Sus scrofa: one gene and its partners. The protein of the gene in region 1 interacts with the protein of each later gene in a pairwise test. Links are inferred from orthologs where the notes say so. Each region holds a gene or a part of one and is shown in the gene's direction. Other genes may lie near its edges. The genes, in order: BNIPL, GFER and MIF.

What was found.
Region 2: the proteins of BNIPL (region 1) and GFER interact in a two-hybrid assay, tested with the Homo sapiens proteins (2 studies listed by BioGRID and IntAct). The link is inferred for Sus scrofa from reciprocal best matches to the Homo sapiens genes BNIPL and GFER.
Region 3: the proteins of BNIPL (region 1) and MIF interact in a two-hybrid assay, tested with the Homo sapiens proteins (2 studies listed by BioGRID and IntAct). The link is inferred for Sus scrofa from reciprocal best matches to the Homo sapiens genes BNIPL and MIF.

What each region holds. Positions count from the first base shown.
Region 1 is NC_010446.5:98,188,234-98,195,859, reverse strand, and holds the start of BNIPL (bcl-2/adenovirus E1B 19 kDa-interacting protein 2-like protein), read left to right. Parts: upstream 1-2,337; 5' UTR 2,338-2,816; coding exon 2,817-2,860; intron 2,861-4,024; coding exon 4,025-4,120; intron 4,121-4,318; coding exon 4,319-4,383; intron 4,384-4,622; coding exon 4,623-4,853; intron 4,854-7,626. Other genes in the region: PRUNE1 (protein prune homolog), read left to right, coding at 1-283. UniProt on the Homo sapiens protein: May be a bridge molecule between BCL2 and ARHGAP1/CDC42 in promoting cell death.
Region 2 is NC_010445.4:39,979,205-39,986,918, reverse strand, and holds GFER (FAD-linked sulfhydryl oxidase ALR), read left to right. Parts: upstream 1-2,467; 5' UTR 2,468-2,606; coding exon 2,607-2,864; intron 2,865-3,229; coding exon 3,230-3,426; intron 3,427-4,280; coding exon 4,281-4,443; 3' UTR 4,444-4,981; downstream 4,982-7,714.
Region 3 is NC_010456.5:49,837,520-49,843,573, reverse strand, and holds MIF (macrophage migration inhibitory factor), read left to right. Parts: upstream 1-2,510; 5' UTR 2,511-2,556; coding exon 2,557-2,664; intron 2,665-2,831; coding exon 2,832-3,004; intron 3,005-3,086; coding exon 3,087-3,153; 3' UTR 3,154-3,271; downstream 3,272-6,054.

The sequences.
Region 1 (7,626 bases):
AGCATATTTTGACTCCATGAAGAGCCCTTCAGGACAGCCTGAAACAGCGGGTGTGTCTAGGGAGCAGGTGGACAAGGAGTTGGACAGGGCAGGTAACTCCCTGATTTCTGGACTGAGTCAAGATGAGGAGGAGCCTCCACTGCCCCCAACGCCCATGAACAGCCTGGTGGACGAGTGCCCTCTGGATCAGGGGCTGCCCAAGTTCTCAGCCGAGGTCATCTTTGAGAAATGTAGTCAGATCTCGCTGTCAGAATCTACCACTGCCTCCCTTTCCAAGAAATGACTGTTGGGAGGGGAGGGGAAAGTGAGAGACGTTGCTTGAATCACCCCGAATGCATGTTCTGAGATGTTTCAGCAGTTCTGTCTTCATTGTTCTAGGATCTGGTATACTGTTCTTTTAAACCTAGGAGGAGAAAGAAGTGAAGGAAAGCTGAGCTGGCTTTCTACCTTTTCCCCACAATCTCTACCAATCAAACAGATTTTATTACTAAATTAACTCTTTAAATCTGCACTGACTCTCTTCTATTTCATTTGCTAGGGTCATAATGAAATAACATACATATTTCCAGCAGAGTTGCACAAAAGAATGTATACTCCAAAAGTGCCCTCAGTCAGGCTCTTTAATGGAACCAGTATTTCTCATAGAACCAAACATTCATTGTCTCCGTATATCCATTTTTTCTCTTGTTAGTTCAAATATTTATTGAATACAATACCTACTTTAAGCTTATTCCAGTTTTCAGCCTTCAGCTGGTTTCCACCTCCATGACTCCTCCTTCTCCCCCCAATTAGGGGATGGTGTCTGTTTCCCAGACGGCCAAATTGCTGTTCTGAGCTTATTGTGACTCTTTTGGAATTGTCTGGGAGCAGGTTAAAGGCCATTATCTTCTGTCCTGATGAGGTGGCCCAGCTCTCAGTTTCTCTGAGCTCCTCTGACCTAGAGCCACAGGCATCCCGAAGAGACACAGGAGATCCCTGCTTCTTGGAGCTCAGGAGACATCTGGGAGGGCTTTAAGGTCTGACAGGACTTCCCAGAGGACAGGAGAACTCCAGTGGGAGCCCAGCTCTGTCAACGATGTATCCGTCTAACCTCTCGTTCATCGTAAAAGGAAACATGGGGTTTCATACCAAGTACTATAAACTGTGTCTCTTGTCAGGACACTCACTCCTCTAGGTCTCACGTCCCCATCTGCAAAACTGGGGATCAGGACTAGATGCTCGCTGGTTTCTGTGATCTGCCTCTTGCCACCATCCTTTCTCAGCTCTGCTTCTCTGGAGGTTTTTTTGGTTTGTTGTTTACTTCGGTTTTCCCTGGGAATGCTCAGGGTCACTGGATTGTCTCTTTATATGTGATCGTACCAAGTACTCAGCCTTATGTAGCATGTACAGGTATAGTGACCCAGCAAAGAGCTCTCTCCCACTGACTTGTTCTGCATGTGTAGTCTCCCTTTTTTCTTCAGACCACCCTGTTCCCCCTTTTCCTACCCGACAGCTCTTTTCCCTGTAAGTTGTTACCAGTTTCGCTGATTAGTGGGGTACGTGATGGTTTGGGCATGATGTCTTCATATGAGGGGAACAGTATAACTTCCTTTGAGGAGATGATATTTGTAGCTGTTGGAAAGTAAAATAGTGGTGTGATTACTGAACCAAAGGAATTTATGTTTTGTAACTTGGGTACTTTATTTTGCATTTTGTTAAAGTATTAAATACTTTTTTCCTGTTTGGGGGTCTTGTCTCTTTTTACAACTATAATCAGGCCTTCACCTCTGATAATTGTTTTAACCTCCTCAGGATTCATTTCCCATTTTTCTGCTGTACTTACTATTCACCTTCGATTGTGTCTTTTTGGAAATAACATCTCCCCTCATCCTCAGCCTTTACCTTTTTTTTTTTTTTTTTTTTTTCCTTTGGCCACACCCAAATCATGTGGAAGTTCCAGGGCCAGCGACTGAACCAGTGCCACAGCAGTGACCTAAGCTGTAACAGTGATAACACTGGATCCTTAACCTGCTGTGCCACAAGGGAACTCCCAGCCTTTCCTTTAATTTGCTTCTTCTTCCAGAACCCTCCTTATAATGCACTTCTGTGTCCTTGGTTTTGCTTATGCTCAAAAAGTAGGCCCAGAGTGGTCTTTTTTGTTTGTTTGTTTGTTCATTTATTTTTGTCTTTTGTCTTTTTTTTTGTTGTTGTTGTTGTTGTTGCTATTTCTTGGGCCGCTCCTGCGGCATATGGAGGTTCCCAGGCCAGGGGTTGAATCGGAGCTATAGCCACCGGCCTACGCCAGAGCCACAGCAACAGGGGATCCGAGCCACGTCTGCAGCCTACACCACAGCTCACAGCAACGCCGGATCGTTAACCCACTGAGCAAGGGCAGGGACTGAACCCGCAAACTCATGGTTCCTAGTCGGATTCGTTAACCACTGCGCCATGACGGGAACTCCCCCCAGAGTGGTCTTAAAAACCGAGATGATTTCTACTGTTCCCTCTTTTTTTTAAGCAGCTTCCAGATGGTTTTAAAGGGTGTGGAAAACTGCCTCCCTAGACTCACCCAAGACTAGCCACTTTAGAAAATGTACTCTCCTCCCCAAAACCCGCCCCCACATAGGCATGGTTTTTCTTTGGGGCAAACCTGCTCCTTGGGAAGGGAGGTGGCAAAACCTGTTTGAAAGTGAGGTTACCTCCCTTCAACCCCTCCCTCCTCGGAGGCAAGAGCAACAATAGCTGAGACAGAGAAGGGTACAGAAGTTTGGGGGAGCTGGGACATCCAGCTCCTCAACCACGCCAAGCGTTTAAAGAAGACAGGAAGTCTTGTGAAGATGGGAACTCTACAAGAGGCAGGAGAAAAGACATTGGATCTTGGGTAAGTTCTTGGCTAACTTGACTGAAAACGAGGAGTGACTAATTTTGAGGGACTTTCCCACCATCCAGCTCTTACCAAGTCAAATCTCAAGTTCTTAGAGGAGGCAAAACTGTAAAAGAATTTGCAGAGAAGGGGTGGGGGTGGCTTTAGGTAGGAAAGATCCATTTGTTATGGGAATTAGGGAACAGGGGCTTCCAGGATAATTGGAATCCAGGATATTATTTTGTTTTGTTTTTGGCATCATGTGGAAGTTCCTGGGTCAAGGATTATACCTATGCCATGGCAGCAACCTGAGCTACTGCCAGTGACAAGGCCAGATACTTAACCCACTGAGCTATACGAGAACTGCCCCCCCCCTTTTTAAAGAAAGTTTCTATATTTTGCGTGTGATAAATTTACTCTTTCTTATACCCACTCTCCCGAATGGCCATTGGGAAAGCTGACCTGGAACAAAATTAGAAGTGTAGGTTCTCCTAGCCAGCTGATCTCTCTTGCTCCTTCCCTTCTTCCCCTCCCTCCATCTGTGCCATGGTGTCCCCTAACCACTCCCCAGTGTGCTGAAGGAAAGGCAGGCCTGACTAGGTGCCATCTTCCCTAACTTTGCCGAGTGACAGCTGGGCAGGTCTTTCTGGTTCCAGCCAATTGTAATGTGAAATACCTCTCGCCCCTACTGTGTGGGTGGAGCAACTGCCACACAGGTAAAAATAATTAGCTTTACCTTCCATCCCTCCTCTGCTTCTAAACCCAACAGCAGGGGTGATTGCTTGCTTGCTTGTTTTTTTTTTCTTTCTTTGCCGCCAGGCAGATATAGGATCAAATCCGAGCCGCAGTTATGACCTACTCCACTTCTGCAGCAATGCCGGATCCTTTAACCTGCTGAGCAAGGCCAAGGATCAAATCCACATTCTGGCGCTGCAGAGATGCTGCCATTCCTATTGTGCCACCATGGGAACTCCTAGGCGTGATTTCTTTCAACAAGTGGTGAAAGTGATAGAAACATCTAGGAGACAAGAGTCTGAATTCTTTTGAAGGCGTGCCCTCTGCTCTGTACCTTCATTACTGTTCTGCATTCCTGTGTTCTCACCTACTATCCAGTTCCCTCAAAACACTGCCTAATTTGTCTCATGATAATCTTTTTTTTTTTTTTTTTCCGGGGCATCTCAGGGTCAGGGAAAATGCAGAAACAGCGGTGCCAGAAGCATCCTTGAGACTTGGGGGGCTGGAGCTGCAGGAAGAATGGCAGGATGAAGAATTCCCTAGGTGAGGAAGTATGAGGGAGAGAGGCTGGGAAAAGGGAGGGCTGGTCATGGGCGGAGGTCGGGGATGGTAAATTGGCACTTGACAGAAGGTGGGGAAAAGGAAGAGGTGATACAATCATAGTGGAGAGAGAATTGATACATTGATGGCTTAATGCCTTTAGCCATTACTGCTGCCCCCTTTTCACCTTTTTCCCCCTAGATTGCTTCCTGAAGAGGCTGACCCTTCTGAAGATCCTGAGAACCCTAAAGGAGACTCACAGACGGGTAGGCGAACTAGAACCCAGGCCTCAAGTTCTTGGTTAGTTCCAGGACATGTTGGGCTACCCTGTCCCTTTGCCGTTCCACTTCCATTTTCCTAAATGGCCCCTGTGTTAGTCCTTCTTTAGAATTCACCACCTATTATCACACAAACAGAAATTCTAACCTCCGCATACACATACACACATACACACACACACACACACACACACACCCCTTTCTCTTCTTTTTTCCCCCTTCTCCAGCCCCAGGTACCCCCAGCACCTTAGCCCTGTGTGGCCAGCGCCCCATGCGTAAGCGTCTGACTGCCCCAGAGTTGCAGCTGAATCTGACAGAAGGGCCTGGAGATAATGGAGCTTCTTCCACCCACTCTGTACCTTCCTCTCCTGATGGCAGTTCTGACCTGGAGGTAGACGAATTGGAGACACCTTCAGACTCGGAGCAGCTGGACAGCGGACACGAATTTGAATGGGAAGGTGGGAAGGACAGCTGAGGACTGAGCTGGTAGAAGTAGAGGCCAGAGTTGAAGAAGCTCAAGAGGATTTAATGGGACTGAAGTTAGAACTAATAGTGGGAATCAAGAAGTTAGATCAGCAAAAGCTCCTCAGAATGGAAAGGTAGAGCCTATAGATCAAATCTGAGAGGAGTAGTGGGGACGGGGGCAGGGGGAAGAAGAGGGTGCTTTGTTTATTAAGGAAAACTTACTAAATAACAGTTATATGCTGTCACTGAGCTAGAACTGTGTTATAAGAAGATTCCTGCTGTGGCATAGCAGTGTAAGGATCCAGTGTTGCCACAGCTGTGGTGTAAGTTGCAGTTGCAGGTCGGATTCAGTCCCTGGTCCGCAGGTACAGCCAAAATAAATAAATAAATAAAATAAGATAATCCTTACCCTCAGGGAGCTCTCTGTTTAGTATGAGATAAACATATATACAGATGAGTGCAGTTAAATGTTATGACCAACACGTGTATAGGGTACAGAGTAAGTAGGGAAAAGGCAAAGGTCAGCTGGGCCTGAGATGTTAGGAAACACTTTACAGGAGTTCCCGTCGTGGCACAGTGGAAACAAATCCAACTAGGGACCATGAGGTTGTGGGTCCAATCCCTGACCTCGCTCAGTGGGTTAAGGATCTGGCGTTGCCATGAGCTGTGGTGTGGGTCCCAGACGCAGCTCGGATCCTGCGTTGCTATGGCTGTGCTATAGGCCAGCAGCTACAGCTCTGATTGGACCCCTAGCCTGGGAACCTCCATATACCGTGAGTGCAGCCCTAAAAAGCAAAAAAAAAAAAAAAAAAGAAGGAAAGAAAAAGGAAAGACATTACAGAGGAGGCAATTCTGAGCTTATCAGGTACCTGGAGAGGCATTCTAGGTGGAAGAAGCAACGTGGACAATAGCACAGCATGTTAGGGATTCAGAGTATAAAGCATGACTATTTAGATGTTAAGGAAAATTTTGTTTCTTCTCTACTCACTACCCTTTCAACACCAAATGTAGAGGTTTTCCCACACCAACCAGTTCTCCAATTCCCCTAACTGGATGGCCTACAATTCAGTGATGACACTTGACTGGAGTTCATACAGACACCGCGGGTTAAGGGCTCAACCACAAGACTGCCCCCAGACTTCAGACACTAGTCACAGGTCTGGGTTGTCACCTGTGCTTCTAACTGACAGGCTGTAAATCAGAGGTTCCCACTACCCCCTCTTCAGGCTTGATAATTTGCTACAACAGCTCATAAAACTTAAGACAGCCGTTTACTTGCTAGATTATAGGTTTATTATAAGAGGATACAGCTCAGGAACAGCCAGAAGGAAGCAACACAATGGACAAGTTATGTGGAGAGGGGTGTGGAGCTCCTCTCTGGGGGTGCATCACCCTCCCAATACCTCCACATGTTCACCAACTCAGAACCTCTTAGAACCCCTTCAGTTAGGTTTTTTTTTGTTTGTTTGTTTGTTTTCCTTTGTCTTTTTGCTATTTCTTTGCGGGCATATGGAGGTTCCCAGGCTAGGGGTCGAATTGGAGCTGTAGCTGCCAAGCCTTTGCCACAGCCACAGCCACAGCAACGCGGGATCCGAGCTAAGTCTGCAACCTACACCACAGCTCACGGCAACACCGGATCGTTAACCCACTGAGCAAGGGCAGGGACCGAACCACTGTGCCACGACGGGAACTCCATCAGTTAGTTTTTTTAAATGGAGGCTTCATATGTAGGCATGATTGATTAAATCACTGACTCTCAGTGGTTTAGCACAACCACAGTCTCTCCCCTCCTCAAAGGTCAGAGAGTGAAAGTTCCAACTCTCTGATCACCTGGCTGGTTCCCTGGCAATGAGCTATCCCTCTGGAGGAGCTTTGCAAGGTCATCTCATTATCATAAACTTGTGTGATTGAAAGGAACTTGTTACAAATAGAAGATACTACCTTCATCTTTATCAAGAGCTATTTTAGGAGCCCAGAACTAAACCAAAGTATGTTTTATATCACAGATATGAAGTTCTTGGGAGGAGAAGAGAGAATGACGAAAGACTGTTAAGTAAGCAAGGGTCAAATCATTGAGGCTCTTCCTGCCACTCTAAGGAGTTTTGATTTTATCCTGTAGCCAATGGGGAGTCCCTTGAATGGTTTTCATCAAGGGAGTAAGATGATCAGATTTAATTACTTTGAAAAGATTGAAAACAACCTAAAGGTACATTAGTAGGATATTAATTATTTTATAGTACATCGATGCAATGGAATCCTAAATACTAGTCCACAATTTTTTTTTTCTTTTTATGGCTGCACCTATGGCATACGGAAGTTCCTAGGCTAGGGGTCTAGTCAGAAGCTGTGGCCCACACCGCAGCTTATGGCAACGCCAGATTCTAAACCCACTGACCAAGGCCAGGGATTGATTGAACCCACACCCTCATAGAGACAAGATCAGGTCCTTAACATTTTAAGCCACAATAGGAACTCCTAGGCCACAATTTTTAAAGACAAAGCAGTTCTTTCTATCGCTATGGAAAGATCACGCAGAATTCATGCCCATAGTATATTTCCATTTGAGTGAAAAACGTAGGGGAGGAAAGAAAGCTCTAGCAGTGGTGTAAAAGGTGGAATGAAGGAAAACAAACAAGAGGCAGGGAGACAAGTTAGGAGGCTAGTACTAAGGCTCAAATGAAAAATGCTAAAAACATGTACCAGGACAGTAATAGTGGAAAGAATGATAAAAGAATATCATGGAGGTAGATGGAAGAGGAACTGGGG
Region 2 (7,714 bases), on another chromosome or scaffold:
GTGAGGCAGGGAATGAATCCATGTCCTCATGGACAGTAGTCGGCTTCGTTAACCACTGAGCCATGATGGGAGGTCCAGGAGGAAAGGTCTCTTAACGTCCCCAAGTCACAGAGGAGGAATTTATGTTAAATGGCTATTAACTGTCAGGGGTTTTGTCTGTACGTGTTGGGGAAAGACAGACTTCACAGGCTCAGAGCATCAGTTCCCCTGCGGTGGACGGACCTGGGGCGGGATGTAGAGCATCCACCTCCAGGCACCAGCACTTGGGGGACGGGAGAGGTGGTGACTAGGACTCTGCTGGTTTGTTTTTTGTTTTCTGTTTCCGTTTGGCCACATCCATAGCATGTGAAAGTTCCTGGGCCAGGGGTCAAACCCTTCGCCACAGAAGCCACCAGAGCAGCTGCAGAGAAATGCCGAATCCTTAACCCAATGGGTCAGAATCCCCAGACAGGGTGTGCCCAGGTGCCCCGCTTCCCTGGAGGGGAGATTTTCGGAGTGCCATCCAATCCTGGCATACAGCAGTTCTTCCCACCGTGGGAGCTGCCAGCTCTGTGTTGGAACTCACCTTACCCCATGCCTATGAGGGAGGGGCCAGCCTCCAAGAGGTCCCTCCAGGGAGGCACCCTGGCCTTGACAAAAGGCCTTTGTAAGTCTGTCCAAACAGCAGCTCCCCCCAAAGCCCTCAAACTTTCCCTGGTCTTGGCACAGACAATGAACACCTGTGGATACAGACCTAATTTTTTTTTTCTTTTTTTTTTTTTTCATTTGTGGCCACCTGGTGGCAGATGGAGCTCCCAGGTCATGGATCACATATGAGCTGCAGTCTCCACCTAAGCCGCAGCTGTGGCAATGCTGGATCTCTGACCCACTGTGACAGGCCAAAGATTGACCCCAAGTCCTAGGGCTCCCAAGACGCTGCCCATCCTGTCACACCACAGCGGGAGCACCAACAGAGGCCTATTTTTGCAAAGTGCCTTCAGTCTAGCTGTCACACTCTTGCCAGTCTCAGTGGGGGCCACTAGCCTGATAGGGTACAGGGTGGGACAGACCTGTTCCTGGGAAGAGAGAGAAGTTGGAGATGGGCAGTTTGCTCACACCAGGAACCTAAAAGGATGCTAAGCACTGCCCCCCCCCATGCCAACTGACAGCCCCTGCTCCACACCGCCAGCAATCTAGACGCCCTCCACTCCTCTCTCTCTATAACCCTACCCTGACGTCTCACCTGGACAACTGCAGCAGCCCCATCCTCCCCCAAAGCCTGTACTCCTCACTTGCTCCTGTGACATCCACTCCCCAGAGGCAGCTTGGCGACTGAGATCACACCAGAGTACCAGGCCCCAAATGTCCCAGCACATTCCCAGGGTCCTTGGAATAAATTGCCAGCGCCCATGGCCATTGATGAGGTCCCTGCTGGGCCCCTGGCCACCGCTGGATCTCTTCTGCCACCACCCTACCCAGGTCCTGTCCTGCTGGCCTTCCCACCCACACAAGAAGCAAAGATCCTCCTCGGCCTTGATTGCCCTTCTCAGTGATTCCTCATTCTTCAGGCCTCCGCCTAAGCGTCACCTCCTCAAGGAGGCCTCCCGCATTTACCTCGCCCCATTCATGCCCCCGAGCATTTATTAGTGTGACACCTTTTAGATTTTTGTTGTTTCCGTCTTGACCACACTGGATTATGGGTTGGGGAGGTCAGAAACTTTCGAATCTTTCTCCCGGCACCGCCCAGCGCCTAGAGCAGCTCTGAACAGATGAGGCACTACACAAATATTTGCGGAATGAATGAATGCACAGTTGGAAGCACAGGTATCCCTGAGGCCACTCCCGACGTGGGTTTAACCGCTTCAGGCAGGCTACAGGATTCGGGAGCGGGAGGGTCCGCTCCGTGCGCGCAGCCCAAACACGCACCGCCTCCTTTGCCGGCACCGCCTCACCCCGGGTTGCCAGTCACCCGTTGCCATGGCACCCGTCGCCAGGGCGGATCCGCAGGCTCAGCCCCGGCAGCATCGCCTCTGTGCGCTCACGGCCCCGCCCCATGTTGCCACAGCACCAAGCGCCAGCTCCCAGGACGCCCCCAGCCGAGGGCATAGGGCCTAGCAGCGGGCACGCGGGACGGTCAGAGCGGAGCGATGGGGGCATCGCGGGCCACGAAACGGACGTCGCCTCAGCCGCAGCCAGAGGCTACGGCACGGCCGCGCCGCTTCCACAACACGCTGGTCTTCTACTGGAGGAAGCGGGAGCGCCGCCACGGAGGACGCAAGTCGGGCTCGGGCCGCGGAACGAGGCCCAGGGCTGCGGCCAGGACTAGGATCTCCAACCCCGCACACACGCGGGCCCGGGCCGCCGACTCCAGCTCTGCTTCTTCCGGGTCGCGGGCCGCGGCCCCCGGCTCCGCCTCCACGCCGGACACCGGCCCAGGCCCCGCCCCCGACCCCGCCCCCGGCCCCAGCTCAGGCCCCGCGCCCGCGCCCGCGCCCGCGCCCGCGCCCGCGGCCCGGGCTCCCGGCTCCTGCGGCCGCGCCCTGGCGGCGGCGCGCGCCCTGGCCTGGAGACCGACTTGGAAGCCCATCTGGAGACCGAGCTGGCCCGGCAGGCATTGCGCGGGTAACATGGCGGCCCCCGGCGAGCGGGGCCGCTTTGGCGGGAACCTCTTCTCCTTCCTGCCCGGCGGCGCGCGCTCCGAGGTGGTGGATGACCTGGTGACGGACGCGCGCGGCCGGGGCGCCGGGCGGAGAGATGCCGCCGCTTCAGCCGGGATGCCCTCCCAAGCCCCGGCCTCGGATTCTCAGGTCGCCGAGGACGCCTCCCGGAGGCGGCCCTGCCGGGCCTGCGTGGACTTCAAGTCGTGGATGCGGACGCAGCAGAAGGTGCAGATGTCGCGTGGGGTTGGGGAGGCGCCTCCTTCCCGCAGAGGCCCGCGAGCCCTGCCGACTCCTAGCCCCGGCCCGCACACCATGTTGTCAAGCGCCCCGGGCAGAGTTCCCAAGACCCAGGCGGAGCACTCCTCCAGGCCCTAAGACTTTGCCCCCTTCCCCGGGGTTGAGGGGTGGCTGTCCCAAAGCCTAGCCCTTAAGGGAGGCCGGGCCTTTCGGCCCTTAGCCACTTGTTGGCCGGACCAGCCTCCTTAGGACTTAGGACAGACAGTAGGCCTCCGGCTAGGGCAGAAAAAATGGAGCTTTGTAGGTTTCCGGCGGGGGAACGGAGCTAACCCTTGGTCGGCCTCCTTCCACAGCGGGACAGCAAGTTTAGGGAAGATTGTCCTCCAGATCGCGAGGAACTCGGCCGCCACAGCTGGGCTGTACTCCACACCCTGGCTGCTTACTACCCCGACCTGCCCACCCCAGAACAGCAGCAAGATATGGCTCAGTTGGTAAATTTATTTTCCAAGTTTTACCCATGCGAGGAGTGTGCTGAAGACATAAGGAGGAGGTAAGTTGTGTGAGTCCTGGGTACCGCAGCCAGTCCCGCCGGGAGCCTGGGCCTGGCTGATGTCATAAAGGGAAGCCTAGAGAAATAAAGGCAGAGGTGGGAGAGGGTTGCCGAGAGCAGGGGCCAGCAGCAGATGAGGGATCTTGGATCATCTCCTTTCTCCTCGAGGGCCAAGCTGCCTGGGGCTTCTTCCGCCCCAGAACTCTGGGGAGCACTTCCCTCCTGAGATGCCTTGCTTAGCACTGCTGGAGGCTCTGGCAGGTGTGGAGGGCGCCGCTTTGCTACCTGCTGGAGCAGGACTGCCAATTTCAAGACCTTGGGAACTCACTGCTTTTGCTCCCGAGAGCCCCCTTTTCTCCATTGCGGAGCCCAAGAACTGTGGTGTGGCACCCATAGGCTGGGCTGGATTTGAGGGGCAGGGCAGCCCTTGCTGTTTGAAGCCTGGGCAGTTAGAACAAAGTCTCTTACTGAGCTGAGGCAGCAGGGCCGTGGGTGCTAAGAAGCAGATCTGGTGTTCAGTTATGCCTTTGTGCAGGTTCCATCCCTTCTGTACACTGCCTGGGGCCAAGGACGCAAGGGTGTGAGGCTTCCTGATTGTTTTGAGGCCATGAAGTCGAGGTCTGTGCCTTAATGTCTGGCCCAGGGTGCTTCTTTGAGTTTGCTGAGCTCCGCGGGTGAGGGTTTGAGCAGGCCCAGGTGTCTGGCAGGTCTTGCTGCTGCAGGGGCACTCCTGGTGTAGCCTCCCCCCGGCAAAGGTGCCAGCTCTCCTCCCTGAATTGGGCAGGCAAGGAGCTGGGGGGTGGGCACAGTGGGGGCACTGCCTGCCCCCATCCTCCGCGTGCTCCCACACACAGGATATGCCGGAACCAGCCAGACACACGCACCCGGGCACACTTCACCCAGTGGCTGTGCCGCCTGCACAACGAGGTGAACCGCAAGCTGGGCAAGCCGGAGTTTGACTGCTCGCAGGTGGACGAGCGCTGGCGAGACGGATGGAAGGACGGCTCCTGTGACTAGATGCCAGCCAGCCAGAGCATGTGCGCGGCCTGACCAGAGCGTGTGGGGCTCATTATTAAAAGTACATCAGAGCCAGAGCCTGTCTTGTCTCAGTTGGGTGGTCCCCAGACCCTGCCCATGGAGCCCTCTCTCAGGTTCAGAGTAGAAGTGGGGGTGCCCCCGACGGCCTCCCCCTCAACCCAGGCCCGAGGGCGCTGAAGGAGGCCAGGGCAGCCTAGGCTGTCCCTCCCTTTCCAGATTCGGCCTCCTGCTCACCTGACACCTGCTGCCAACTTAGGAAGGTGACCAGCCTGGCAGGGCTCCTCTGTCTTGCCAGGCCAGGCCCCTGTCCCCCACCGTGTAGCTAGGGACAGCTGGCATGGCTGCAGTGTCTTTAGCCCGGGGCCTGTGCGCTGCCAGTACTTCAGGAGAGAGGCCTGGGGGCTGAGCTCTGCTGCACACCTGCCGTGCCGCATGTGGCCTTGCTCAGCTGCACCAGGCCTGTCGAAGGCTTCTGTGGAGCTTGAGACCAAAATAAAATGCTGGAGAAGTGACTGAAGACCTGCCTTCGGTGTGTTTTGTGCTGGCGCTTGCGGTGATGGACGGGCCTGCCCTCGCTGCATGTAGTCTGCTGCCTCCTCCCATCTGAGTTCTGACTCCCGAGGAAGAGGGAGCTGTGCCATCGCAAGACTGGGCCAGGCTGTTCCGCGAACAGCAAGGAGGCCTCCTTTTTTTGTGTGTGTGTGTCTTTTTTTTTGTCTTTTTTTGCTGTTTCTTGGGCCGCTCCCGCGGCATATGGAGGTTCCCAGGCTAGGGGTCAAATCGGAGCTGTAGCCTCCAGCCCATGCCAGAGCCACAGCAACGTGGGATCTGAGCCGAGTCTGCAACCTACACCACAGCTTACGGCAATGCCGGATCGTTAACCCACTGAGCAAGGGCAGGGACCGAACCTGCAACCTCATGGTTCCTAGTTGGATTCGTTAACCACTGCGCCACGACGGGAACTCCAAGGAGGCCTCCTTGCTGGGTCTGGGGGAGGAGCAGAGAGGGGAGCGAGGTCACATGGCGGCAGGTCCTCAAGACCCCAGAAAGGATGTGCTTTTAACACCTAGCTCCCACGGAAGGGTGTGGAGCAGAGGAACGGCAAGAAGTGACTTTTGAAAGGTCTCTCTGGCTGTGGAGCTGGAATGAGGCAGGCGTGGGGGAGAGCAGGGAGGACAGGCACCCATGTGGCGGCCAAGAGTGAAGCTCTGCCCCAGTCACTGGAGGATGGAGTTGCCCAGTGTATCAGTGAGGTGCAGAAGGCTGTGAGCAAAGCAGGTTTGGGGGTGACCTGGACCCAGCTTTTGGGCCGTCCTGGATCCTCTCAGCCACACCTACTCTGCCAGTTGTCAGCTCTCCGCTGGAATGGCCCAACAATAGTGTGTCCCATCCCTGTGGCCATAAAGCTCTGGCCACCTCCCCCCGTGGCGTCTCAGCTCCTCCCCGGGCAAGGGCCAACCTTTGGCACAGCTTCCTCGGCACCTGCACCCCAGAGGGTTGACACAGAGAAACAGGAGGCCAGGAGCAGCCAGCAGAGGGGTTCCTGCTCTTTTTCCTGCTCTTTTTTTAGAAGGGCGTCCCCGGCACAGGGCCTTTCCCAGGTCGCCTGCGTGCTGGGAGCTGGTGAAGCCGTGGTCAGCTCCGGAGCACACTGTCTGTATCAGTGCCCCCCACCCCCACCTCACTGCCCTTGTCCCCTACCTCTGGCTTCCCCGAAGTTTAACCTCCCAATACAGCTCTAACTTGGCTATGGACTGTTTTCCAGACCATCCAGTTGAGACAAGTGGGATCCTAGTTCAGGGGAAGGTTCTGGCTCAAGCTCTTAGCATGTAGACCAAGAGAGTGAGCAGAGAGCAGGCAGAAGAGCCCCAGCACCGTGCCCTGGGACCCCTAAGGCTCAAAGGACACAGATCCGAACAGGAGAAGGGAACCAGAAAGAGATAAGAAAGGACCCATGGGATGGGAGGAATATAAGGATGGGGTGGCATTGCAAGTGTCCCCAGGAGGATGGGGACAGGATGGCATGTGAAAGTTCCCGGGGCCAGGGATCCAAACTGCACTGCAGCTGTGGCAGTGCTGGATCCTGAACCTGCTGCACCACACAGGAACTTCCTGTAAATTTGTTTTTAAGACAGCAAAGTGGCATCTTGAGGCACGGATGTAAGCAATCAAGCAAAGAGGGACAGGGACGAGGCGTGGGACAGAGGGCGCTGTTGCCCACAGGTGAGAGGGGATGGGGCTGGATGCAAAGTGGGCGACACTTCCCGCTCTGGACTGAGCTCCCCGGGGGATGGGCCGGATACCACTGTCCACACCACACGAATGGCACAGTAGGGACCTGGGTTTGAATCTCCAGCTCTTGCACTTTCTGAGCTCAAGGAATTCAACCAGCCTGCCTCTAGAATCTGAAGATTGGGCGTAAAACACTCCCTACCTCCACGGGGCACAGTGAAAGCTCTGGCGCTGTAAATGCGCCCCAAAGGCAGGTTTTTTCTCAGTGCCCTAGGCAGAAACGGGAGGCCCCTGGGCCCCTGTTGGGCTGGCCTGTAAGGAACACGAGGGAAGGGACCCTGTCTAACCTGGGGCTGGGCCATCTGTGGCAAAGACCCCTCAGCAGGTGTTCAGGGGAAGCAAGGCACTGCTCTGCCAATCTCCTCATCTCTGGTGCTTCTCCCCTCTCCTTGGCCCAAAACTAAATATGTCGCCAAAAACTGGGGGTGGGGAGGGCTAAGTGAGAACCTTGGAATGACGATATCCAAGCCCAGGGAAAGAGCAGAGAGGCCCCAGCTCCCACCCACACCAGCCTGCCTGGACGAGTGGCCCTGAGGGCAGAAGGCACTCTCCCTCCCGGTTCGGGAGGCTGCCAGGTACAGTGGTGAAGTCAGGGAGTGCCCCAGTAACCCATCTCTGGTCTGCCAGGACCAGGGGCAGGAAGCTGAGTGAGGTCATGTCGGTTTGTCCATTGACGTGGCGACAGCAAAGGCTGAGACCAGTGTTCGCCTGCCCTGCTGACTCCTGCCTACCAGTTAGGGGACCTGGGGGACTCAGTCGCGTGACCCTGCGCCCTGATGGAGACATGGCAGGTAGTGTCCATCTCGGACCCTGGTGCTGCAGTGAGACTAGGGGTGGAAGGAGGGCGGGCAGAGGTAGGGGAGGGCTCCAGCCCTGAACGCCTGGACGGGGGTGGGGGGGCGCGGGCTCTGTCCCGCCCCGCGCGCCCCCGCCGCGGCCGCTGCGCGCTCCCGAGAGG
Region 3 (6,054 bases), on another chromosome or scaffold:
TCCGAGTTCATTCAGGCTGTTAGCAGAATTCAGTTCCCTGCGGCTTCAGGACTGAGGCCCCCTCATCTTCAAAGCCAGTAACAGCACACTGAGTCCCTCTGCTTTAAGTCTGACTCCGCTTCTGCCTTGTCTTTGACTCGAGCTGGAGAAAATTCTCTGCTTTTAAGGGCTCCTGTGATTACATCGGAACCACCCAGATAATCCATGATAACCTCCCTATTTTAGGGTCTGTAACCCTAATTACATCTGCAAAGTGCCTTTTGCCATGTAACGTAATGCATTCACAGGTTTGGGGGACTAGGGCATGGACAGCCTTGGAGGCCCTCTGCCTGCTACCGAGCAACAGGGCAGAAGGTAGGCACGCAGCCAGGCCCAAAAGAAATAGTCCCCCAGCTCAGGGAGCCTAGAAAGGAAGCAGTAACTCACACACAGAAATATGGTGATAGCCTGGAAGAAGAGAACAGGTGCTGGGCTCCTGACTGGGCCTGACCCAGCCAGGAGCTTTGGGTGCTGAAGCAGATCAGGGAAAGTGCAGGAGGGGACCAGGTCACCCAGGGCACTGTGATGGTACTGGGGACCATCACCAGTAATTAAACCACTTGGGTCCTCACAACATCCCCCTGTAAAATGGACACTACTGTCATCCCCAAGTTACAGGCAGGAAAACTGAGGCTCAGAGAGGTTAGCCAAGTGTCCAAGCTAGTGACAAGTGGGACTGGGAATCTAGTCCCTCCTCAGAGGCCCTCCCTGAAAGACAGCAGTGACTACTCCTGGGAAGGGAGGGTACACAAAGGCTGTCCTGATGGGGAAGGCTCCCCTCTGTCACAGTAACAACCTGAAAACCATAGCGGCTCACCCACAGGGCATTGCAGGTGTTTGTTGGAGAGGCTCTGTGTCACCCGCTGCCACATCAGAGAACATGGAACTGGGCACTAGCTTTTGGATCTTCTGCCTGGAATCATTTGCGTCACTTCTGGTCACTGGACAAAGCAAGTCACATGGCCAGATCTACCTGGGTAGGCAGGGGGAACAGACTCCTCCTCCAGGAGAGGCCAGGCCAAGAGTGATGCCAGCTAACTTAGACTAAGGTGGGATCAGGGGTGGGGGGAGAGGCGAGGATAAAGGCATAGTGGAGGGAGGCACAGTTCACTGGGAGGAGATCAGAGGTGGGAGAAAAGTCATGCACTTGGATGTGGACACCGGGAGCAGGCCATGCTGAGTTGGCTGCTGGAGCTCAGAGGAGCATCCTGGGCTGGAGACATCAGTGCATCAGTGGTAACAGAACCCTGAGCACAGAAAGACGGCTGGGTGTGGGAGTGGGGAGGAAAGTGATCTGGGCCTACCTGGAAAGCCCCACATTTTACAGAGTTATTGGCACAGCTGGGCCATGAGACCTTCCCTCTGGAGGCCAGCTGGTCCCACAAGCCTGGTGGCCTTGATCCATCATATGGCCATTGTCAAGGCCAGCAACATGCTCTGCCACCTTAACCAGACCACAACTGTCAGAGACCAAGGACAGGGCTTTCCTGGAGAGCTCTGAGACTGGCCAAACCTGCATGCCCCTTGAGTGCCAGTCCCCAGCCCAGCCCCCTGACCAGGGGTCTCCTCAGAGCAGGGGTCAGGTGGCCCTTCTGTCCAGTAATGGCAGGGCCTGCAGGCTCATCCCTGGCCCTGACCTCTTCCTGCCCCGTCATGGCTAACTTCATTCACCCAGTATTTAGTCCATGTCTTTCATATGCTTGGCACCTACTAGCTACCCGTTGAGCTGACCACTAGTGGAAGAAACAGAAAATTCACTCAGGCTGTAAGAGGGCGTCCCCAGAGGACACATCAGAGGAATTGCCCAGGGGACTCAAGTTTTGGGGTGGGCTTTGAGCTCTGTCAGACATCCCCTCCTACTCGCTGCCCCTACCCGGGGCACCACCCAGCATCCCCACCCACCTTGAGGAGCAGGGGTATAGGGAAGGCATCTGGATGGTGACTCATTTGTGGTAGCCCCCTCCCACCTGCATCAGTGACTGCGCCTCACCCCTACACATGAACACCAGCACGCCCACCCGTCCACTCAGGACAGTGGCCCCAGAGACTCAGGACACACAAGGGCTCAGTGAGAATGAGCTGGACTTCATCTACTTGTCCAGCTGTGAGCTCCTGGAGGGCCAGAAGCCACCTGCCCCCCTAACCGCAGTATCCCCGCTCCTGGCACACAGATGAGTAGATATCTGTGACTAAATAAAAGGGCTGATGAACGAGGGAAAGGCACACTTCTGGCCACGAGGTGGTGAACGGCTTTGGAGGGGGCACCCAGCCAGGGGTAGGCGGAGTAGGGTCTCAAAGTCCCGCCGTGAGGGCGGGGCCTCTGCCGGCGGTGACGTCACCAGTCGCGAAGGCCTCGCGGCCTCGGGGGCGGGATCTCCGCCGGCGGTGACGTCACGGGGCGGAACCGCAGTCGCAGTGGGCGGGGCGCCGGGCGGCGGTCACGTATCTCAGGTTCCCCTGCTTCTTGACCGCGCAGTTAGGTTCCTGTGCTCCGGGTCCCCACTGTTCCTGGCCATCATGCCGATGTTCGTGGTAAACACCAACGTTCCCCGCGCCTCTGTGCCGGACGGGTTCCTCTCCGAGCTGACTCAGCAGTTGGTGCAGGCCATGGGCAAGCCGGCGCAGGTCTGCCACGAGGGCCGGGCGAGGCGGTTCCGGGCTGAGGCTGGGGTTGGGGGAGGGGGGGCGGCGATTCCGGAATGGGGCTCCGGGCGGGGAAGGGACGCGGGGGCGGGGGGCGTCTGGGCCGGCGAGGTCACCCGGGCCGACTGACCGCGTCCCCTCCCCCGCAGTACATCGCGGTGCACGTCGTCCCGGACCAGCTCATGGCCTTCGGAGGGTCCAGCGAGCCGTGCGCCCTTTGCAGTCTGCATAGCATCGGCAAGATCGGCGGCGCGCAGAACCGTTCCTACAGCAAGCTGCTGTGCGGCCTGCTGGCCGAACGCTTGCGCATCAGCCCGGACAGGTGCGTGGGCGCCGAGGGCCGGGGAGCACGCGGCCACGGCGGCCGCCCAGTTGCCCGCTCAGCCTCGCTTCCTTCTCCGCAGGATCTACATCAACTACTACGACATGAACGCGGCCAATGTGGGCTGGAACGGCTCCACCTTCGCCTGAGGGCCGCACCCCAAGACTCCTTTGCTCTCGGCCTGGCGCCGCCGGCTCTGTTTTCTGCCTGCCTCGCCCCTAGCGACCCCAGCTCCCGGAAGAGAGAAATAAACGGTGTGGAGATGGCTGCCTCCGGCTTCCTTGACTAGCGGAGGAATTGGTGAAGGGCCGGGTCAGTGACAGGGGTCCGAGGCCGGGAGGGGCGCCCCCAGAATGAGCTGTGGGGCGCCTTCCCCTACCCTTTGCCAGCAGAAGGCCCCACTGAGGTTGGCATCCTTCCAGAGGCCACAACCCAGGAATCAAATTCGAATCGGGAATCCATAGTCTGTCCCCCACCCTCTCTCCTGCCGAGGCACCACGTGGGCTAGGGTTGGCGGGCAAAGGGGGAGTAATCCAAATCCGGGTGAGGGCGCCCGCTCCACCTCAGGAGTCATTCTCTGCCAAGCTGGTGCTTCAGTGTCTTGACTTAGGAAATCCCATTGTTTTGGAACTTTAGGATGGTTTTCAAGTGTGGGACAGAGGCTCCAGGAGGTGGATTCTGGTTATGCTGCCCTGTCCACCCCAGTTCCAGGCCTGGGTAGGGCTCCCTTCAGGCACCCAGGCCCTTAGGAATAGCAGTTCCCTGAGGGCATACTCCTATAGTTTGGGTGCCATTCATGTTTTCTAGTGCGCAGCAAGTCCGGAAAGCCTGCAGGTGGCTAGTTAACCCCACTAGGACGCTGAGGATTTGATCAAGAACAAAATCAGTATCAAGGTGCAATAGGACAGTTTCCTGGCTTAGGATCCTTTCTCCAAGTGCAGGGCCTTGCTCCCTTGTGGGGTGGTGACAAGGTACTGGGCAGTCCTCCAGCCAGGAGGTGCTGCTTGCCCAGGCCAGTCACCTTTAGGCTGAATGCCTCACTGCCCCACAGCAGGAGATCCTCCATGGACCTGCGCAGCAACTCCAAGTTGAGGCCCAGCCCTGAGCACTGGGGACTTAACGTGCCTGGAGTTGGCGTCCCTTGATCAGAGCCGGCACCTGTGTCTTGGCTAAAGTGAAGAGCCAGCTCTGCCCTTCCTGCACTGCCCACCCTGTGGGAGAAGCCCAGTTCATTGCAGCTGCCTGCAGAGAGAGGCTCTTCCAGCCCCATGAACCCCGTTCCTGGGGGCCTAACCTCTGGACCCCTGGCCCTGCACCTGAGACCCCTTGTTCTGCCTCAGCCCCTGAGATAGACAAGAACATCCTAGATAGAGGTGGTTTTTTAAATTCCACAGAATTGAAGTGAACCGTTTTTGGAAGGTGAAGGACTCTGGGGAAGAGGGTAACCGCCTGAGCCCAGCCCCTGGAGCGCTTTCCTTCTGATGCTGGGAGTGAGGAACAGGCCTGCCTCTGAGCCATAGGCAGTAATAAGGCCCACCTTGTTCCTGTACATGTGCTGGAGCCTGGGGTGGCCACAGGCTCCTTCCTTGGGCCCACTGCCAGTCACCTAGCCTGTGTGGCACACTGTGGCATCAGTGTGAACTCCTGTTACGCAGGGGCAGGAAGCTTCAGGAGCCCAGCCCAGGCTTGTAGCAGAGGACAGATCACACCTACCCTTGGATTATGGCACCTTCTGAACAGCCCAGGCCCCAGGCTGCTTAGCCCAGTCTGTCAGCTCCATCCGCTGACATCTACCCCAACCCCTCCGTCTCTGGGGTGGTCCAGCAGTCTGGCTCCGGGGGTACTCTCAGCCCCCAGTCAGCTCCCTGGGCAGTGAGGATTTACTTCTAGAACAGTGGGGACAGTTGTGACCTTAGAAGAATCAGCTCCAGGGAGTCTGGAGGATGTGGCCCGTCTTTGGGGTGCTCCTATTCCACGAAGGTCTTCTTCCAACTCTCCTCAGTCTCATTCTGTCCTCAGTGAGGGGACTGGAGCCTCAGGTCCATCTCTGTGCTGGGGGAGGGGGTAGCATAGCCCAAGCTGGCCCTATTCAGCCTGGCTTGCAGGCTAGGCCTCCCTCTTGGGTGTGAGCACCTGCTACGTAACAGGCTCCTGCCTGGGCCCTGGCCTTTGTCACATCCCCTTGGCTCCCACATTCCACCCCCCCCCCCCCAGTTCCCAGCATAGAGCCTCTTCCCCTGGCTCCAGGCTGCACGCTGTCCCACTTTTACTTAGCCTCTTGGGGCCTATACTGTACGTGGTCATGAGAGCAGAGATGAGGGTCTCCATGAGTGTCTCATCCAACTCTCATTTCACAGGTGAGGACATTGTCCTGGTTCCCTGGATGTGCCCATGCTGTGCCAGCCACCTTCCAGGGTCTGACTTCACATTTCCCCTCCCTGTTGCCCCCAGCTAGGGCATTCACTTGTGTCCTCATAGGAGCAGGAGGTGGGCAAGGCAGGCTGGGCATCTGCCGTGTTGGGGAGGATGGAAGGGCTTGGGAGAGTGAAGCATGGCTCGCTGCTTCTGCAAATTGGGCAGTTCCAGAGTCTCTGTGGCCAGCTGGGGCATCGGAAAAGCAGTGGCTCCTTGGAATCCAAGGGAAAGGGGGGCATCTGTGAGTCAGCCCCCCCCCCATTCTTGGCCCTGCAAGCCCAGGAGGGCAGTTATTGCACCCCACTCTCCAGCCATATACTGTCCCCCATCCCAGTCACCTCCCAGCCAGCTCCATTTCCTCCAAAGCATGGGCTCCACTGCCCGCCAAGCTGCCAGTCCCTCTTCAAACTCCAGTGGCTGCCCCAAGACCCATAGAGGTGCAGTCAATCCTTCAAGACAGCTGTAGAAACTCATTTTTAAAAAGCATCTCCAACGGAGGTGTGGGTTGGAGAGGGTAGGGGCCCAGACCACCACCTGCTCTCCACTCGCTCCAGTGGCACCATATTATTTGGCAGCCAAGACTGGGCTGTCTGCCCTGGTTTGCAGCCTTGCACCTCCCTTGCCGGTGCTGTTCC